2 linked regions of the Drosophila melanogaster genome follow. The protein of the gene in region 1 interacts with the protein of each later gene in a pairwise test. Each region holds a gene or a part of one and is shown on either strand. Other genes may lie near its edges. The genes, in order: CG16978 and Lcp65Ag3.

The links.
Region 2: the proteins of CG16978 (region 1) and Lcp65Ag3 interact in a two-hybrid assay, tested with the Drosophila melanogaster proteins (one large-scale study listed by BioGRID).

The regions. Positions count from the first base shown.
Region 1 is NT_033779.5:13,142,706-13,145,515, reverse strand, and holds CG16978 (uncharacterized protein), read left to right. Parts: upstream 1-1,893; 5' UTR 1,894-1,918; coding exon 1,919-2,209; 3' UTR 2,210-2,302; downstream 2,303-2,810. Other genes in the region: CG9928 (uncharacterized protein), read left to right, coding at 2,651-2,810.
Region 2 is NT_037436.4:6,129,628-6,132,858, forward strand, and holds Lcp65Ag3 (larval cuticle protein), read right to left. Parts: upstream 1,363-3,231; 5' UTR 1,303-1,362; coding exon 1,184-1,302; exon of another isoform or gene 1,123-1,183; coding exon 924-1,122; 3' UTR 759-923; downstream 1-758. Other genes in the region: Cpr65Au (cuticular protein 65Au), read right to left, coding at 1,792-1,978, 2,321-2,454.

The sequences.
Region 1 (2,810 bases):
TTTGTTGCCATCGCTGCTATTGGACGGTACGCTTTTGACCAGGTCGGGCGTATCGGCTGCCGTTTGGCTAAACAGCCCACGTTTAAACATGGCTCAGAGCGTGCTAATCAAGTGGCTACGAAAACAAAATTACGCGACCGACTGAGCAAAAGCCAGCTTTGACTTTGTCTCGTTTTTCATATATTTGTGGTTACCTTTCCAGGGGGTTCTTCGATTTTTGAAAGAGGTTTGTAACACTGAAAAATATACCCACAAGCTTAAGGTATATATGAAGAAAATTTAAACGATTAGATGTCATTTTTGGTCATAATTAAAATCGAGTTATTTTTACAACTTCAGTATTATCAATGATATTGATCATTGAAGCTTCGAAAAGGGTATTTAGACATTGGCTGAAAAATATTTATTTTCCTCCTCTTTTTTTTGATTGACTTTGGTTTTTATGTTATTTGGTCGCGTTGCGTTGAAGTTGGTTTTGGCTTTGGACTCCGGTGAAGCCAGGGGATTTGGGGCTAGGGCTGGGCCGTCGTTTGGGTACGCTTTGATGGCTTCTAGGTGAAGGTCATTGTGTGACTGAAATGTTAATTTGACTGACTGTCGTACTTTTATGCCGGAGTGCCTGGGCTATTTCAGTTGTATCTTTTTAATGGCACTTGCTAAGGTTCTATACACCTAGAAGTGGGTATTCATGTCGGCTTAAAAACCACTAAACAAAACTCAAAACCAACTTTGATTTGTTGCGCCGCTGGTATGCGGCGATTTTTAAATGACTGACATTTGCTAGCAAGTCGACATAATATACAAAAGCATCAGAAAAAGTTTGAAATTTTTTAAAATATACATTAATTATAGAATTGAAGTTGAGGATATTAAAATAATTAAAAACATATTTGTGGTTATTATTTCAGTTGCCAGCAGAGTTTTTATATTATATAAAGAATTTTCTGAAACGTTTTAGAAATGACTAAAAACGATCCGTGTAACAGCTTACTTTGATTTCAATGGCGCAGTCTTAGACTCCAATGATGGCGATGCAAATGAGCGACATATTTGCAGACAAGTCCACCAGCAATTCGGTGAATGGGCGGGCGTCTGCTTCCCCGGAGGATAATGAGCTGCAGCCCCCGTGAATCGAGTCTGGTGGCCCATCTAATGGTGTTGTTCGCATGGTGGTTAGATGGTTGAATGCTGCAGCTACAGCAGCAACGATTCAGCACCGTTTTGCTGATGCGGCACACTCCAATGCCATAAAAGGGCATTAGCCTCGTGAGTAGATTGCATGTTTTTACCACAGGTTTTCGTGGATGGGCTCCCGTCTTTTGGGGTGGCAAAGTGAGGTTGTACTGGCAGCTGAGTGCGCGCGCTTTGGAAAATTGAATAAAGTGCCGGAGGAGCCAACGAAGGATTGAGGCAACGAAGCGGAGTAAAGTGCTCGATGCTGGCAGCCAAGTCATTTAAGGGTTGCCGGCAGCACTCACATCGGCCTACAAGGAAAGATGAAATACAGTCGCTTTGCTAAGTTTATAATCCCTTATTTAGAGTACATTTTCTGACTACCCAGCTAACTAACACAACTCTAGTAACTGACAGATGATTGGCATGGCCGAGAATTTTCTCAACAGACATAGCAATTATTTGGAATTAATCATAGACTTATTTGCATGACTGTTGATCCGCAAGTGGCAACGTGTCGTATGCGCAATGCTTGCTCTTGCTGGGTCTGCGATGATTCAGAGGGGACTCTAGTACCGCCCAACGCATAAATATGAATGAGGAAATCGAAGCAGCTTGCCACTTGGGCTTAGCCCAGACTGGATTTTCCAGAATTCCATTGAACTTATTACTGACCGACACGATCCATATAAAAACGAAAGAAATTGCATCTGGCTATGCAGTTGCCGGCGGTGCATTGATCAGCATGATGAGCCGCATCATATCATTGCTTCTCCTATTCGGAATCATTTGTGCTGCTCTAATTGCCGGCCATCCGCACGACCTTATTGAAGATCCGGAAGGTACCAATGATGCTTTGGAGGAATCTGGCAGTGGATACAACAGTGCCGAAGAGTTCATGAATGCAATGGACGAGCTGATCAGACGCTGGCAGGAGAACGATGCAGCTCATGAGAACTCAACTGACTATCCAAGTCTTGATGACGATGAGACGACTTTGGATTTTATGGATATTACCACCGAACCGGCTACTTAATATGGAATTATTTAGTAGTGCTGTAATGCTAAGTCATGCTATCCTATTGTCTGTAAATAATCTAGTTCTTCAATAATAATTATTAAGGGAAATAAAAGAAAGTTTTTAGAAATTTTAAAATGAAATCAATCAAGAGAGAATCAAGAGATCTTCATTTTTTGATAATGAATGTTGCCTACTCCGCAATTTCGATTTTAAGTACGCATTAAATACTAGTCATAGATTGAATTTAATAGCTCGTTTAGTATATCAATTAAGCTTGTGGTAAGCTGTGTTGCTGTTAAGCTGGAATTTCCCGCACTCACCTCTGTCTAAAAGTATACATATCACCTTTAAACCAACCACTTAGAACTGCTGATAACCCAGGGCAAGGCTATAAAAGCCCAGCTCAAGAGCCGACTGACATTCAGTCAACTGTAGCCAGAGCTAATCGAAAGAAAAATGCAATCCATTCTCCGACTGCTGGTGCTGTTTGGATTAATCTATACCGCGATCGGTGCATCGGGTATATTTCAGAATATAAACCTCGGTGGCGAAGGAGGAAGAACACGATCTTCAGGTGGCAACTTGGACTGGAGCGATAGTGTTCACAGTTCTGATG
Region 2 (3,231 bases), on another chromosome or scaffold:
AATGACTGATGTTGTATGCTAAAATTTGCATATTAATTGCTATAACAGTTGTCTTTCAATACGAGCATAAATGATTCGCGTCTAAAGAGACGCATCACGAAGATACTGGTAATTAGCATTTAGCCCCCAAAAGTATGCAAGGGATTTAAAAAGTTCGTTGCCTAAGTCATTCGATTTCAATGCAATCTGAATAGCTATAGCCTGAAAGTAAGCTTAAGAGTCTTTTATGATTAAACTATGCACTTTAAATCCGCAAAGCCGACTATGCATTTGGGAGAACTTTTTGTTTTTATTTTATTAAGGCATACTGGAAATTTTCGTTTGATTTTGTTAAGATAAGTTAAAAATAGGAAAAATATATTCTTTTTTAATATTATTATAAGGGCCCAAAAACTTTTTCTTTTTTAATAATGTTCATGTAATAAGAACACCTAATAAAGCCTGAAGACGACTGGGTATGTTAGCGGTTAGAGTAATAAAATACATAATAAAAAATTGTATTTTCAGTTCTAAAATGTTTTTTTTTTTAATTAATAATTTTCTAAATGAAAAAAATACCTATTCTTTCAAAATACTTATTTACACTTCTTAAGAATTGCTTAATGGAAAAAAACCTTTAATTAGGTCCGTTGTTTGCCATAAGAATCTAGTTCTATTTATCTGAACAACTTAACAAAATATTTTCAAATAATCGCCTTTAAAAAAAAACGACGTTTCCGACCTTTTGAGCGAAAAGCACATTTAAAATAAAACGAATTCATATAAAATCTACATTTTTTAATATTCAACAAACTGCGTTCTGTAACTTAGGATTCTTTCCCTTTTAAAAGGGAAAACCGAAAGTAGGTAAGTGTTGGGGAAGATAACAAAGAGTGTTGCAGAATTGGTGGGTTTAAAGCTGCTTACAGTGAAAGCAACTTCACTTATGCCACGGGGGCAACGGGCAGATGAGCACCCTCGGGCTGGAATCCGTTCTTATCGGCGATGTAGTTGACTTGGTAGGTCTGGCCATCATCAGCAATGAAGCGGTAGGATCCACTCACAGAGATAGCCTCGTTCTCAGTTCCAATGTCGTTCAGCTGACCTACAGCTTGAGCAGCCTGTCCATCGGAGGTTTCCCAGCTAAGAAGGAAGTCAGTGTCAGCTAGGTATCCTTTTGGGTCATTTCTCATAGGCAACTTACTCGTATTTGAAGCTTTCGGGTCCAACGTCGGATTCAGAGCGCACGATTGTGGGTTCCTCAGCGGCAGGAGCAGCCAGAGCCACGGCGAAGAGGGCGACGAAGACAATCAGGAATTTCATGGTGATTGTTGTTTGGTGCTTAGATCTGCGGCTATCGAACAGTTCAAGTCGAATGGTAACTATGGACGGCCGCGTAAACCCTTTTATAGATGGCACCCTCTTGGCGATTATTCAAAGCGCGGCCGAACTAGTCAAACGTGTACAAGACATAATGAGCAAAATCAATGTTAATGTGAAATGTCTGGTTTGGATTTCATTTTCGTTTGAAGTAGGAGCATTAAAAGGCCTAATATAAAATTTTAATAACACTATAGTCCAAAAAGAATCGCGTTCATAAATATTTCATTATTCAAATTTTTAACAATTCATTGAGCTTTATTATATTTATAATAATCCAGCCAGTCTTAGTGACGTCAATAAAACTCGGGAGCTTCCTCAAATATATACATTTTTTCTATTTACTTTTCTAATTCTACGAATCTTTTACATTGGATAAATAAAGTCAACTTATTTATTCGCATCCGGAATCATTATACATCCAGGTATCTCCTAGGCTACTAGCCTGAACTTGGGATGGTAGCCAGTTTCGTCGGCCGTGAAACTAATCTCGTATTTTTTGCCATCTGGAGCTGACCAGCTGGTCGATCCCTGGACAGACAAGGAACCATCCTCTTCGCCGGCTCCAGGTTTCACCTCACCGGTCTCAGTGCGTGAGATTCCGTTGCTCGTCTCATAGCTGGAATTCGATGTTAATTGTTTTTAATAAATTAATTATTGATTGAAATTGTATATAGGAACATCGAATAATTAAACACCTGTTACAACTAAGCATTTCAAAGCTACCCTCTTTAATTTTGCCCTTGCAGAGGCTTATACCTCTGATATCAGTCAGAAGTTTGCAACGCAGTGAGGGAGACATGTGCAACTAAATAAAGTTTATATATGTGTACATATTTATATACATCAGTTTCAATAGTCAAGCCGTTTCTACGCAAAATAGTAATAGTATCTCAGTTTAAGGTTAAAAAATTTTACAATTAAATGCATTATGTCCAAATCATTTCTGGGCAATACCTACGCAAAGGAATATTTATCGCCCGTGTTTTCGCTCTCCAGTTTGATGGTCTCCGCCTGGGCATCCTCACCAGCGGGAAAGGCCAAACAGATACCAATTGCCAGGAAGGCTACCAGCCACATGAAATTCGATTGCATTGCGGAAAGAATTAGTTTTTCAGAGTCTCCGTCACAGCTAGCTGCACTTTACTGAGCTGCGATGCGATCATCTGATGCCCTTTTATACGAAATCTCTGGATTATGTCCTCATCGGCGAAAAATGCAAAATAATAAAACAAATTAAAAATAAAGAAATCAGCTATAATGCAAACATTCAATAAAACACATTTTAATTACAGATTAACACTCTAAGTACCCTGCACTAATCGTGCATGCAGGTATATCCAACAGATGGTAATGTATGCAATTACCTTGTCGACAGTCAATTGATAGACAGAATGACGCCTTACCTTGCCATCACCTTTGAATTCTCAAATCTTATTGGTTAATTAAGCTAATCGTGAACATGTTTGTTTGAAACAAACAGATAGAACGGTGAAAATTTGTATAAAAAACAGTACACGATCACCATTTGCTATATACATATAAACTCAGGTTTAAACGATGTCTTCTAGTCGAGATGCATAAAGTTCTGTATTCGAACTTTTTATTATTGTGCATTGTGATTTTGCCATTGTCATTTCTCATATTATCATCTAATGTTTGAATAAGTAAAGCCTCAGCAAATGCTTTGTGTACACTACTATTGGTATATACATTAATTATTAATAGAAAATATCAATCAGCAATCCAACAAGCATGGAATATTCTACATATCAGAGTATTCTATATCAAATATCAGAGTATTTTACAAACATTTAATCGTGCAGCGGTCACGTATACACGCTGTGACCAGTTTCTATTCTTCGAATATCT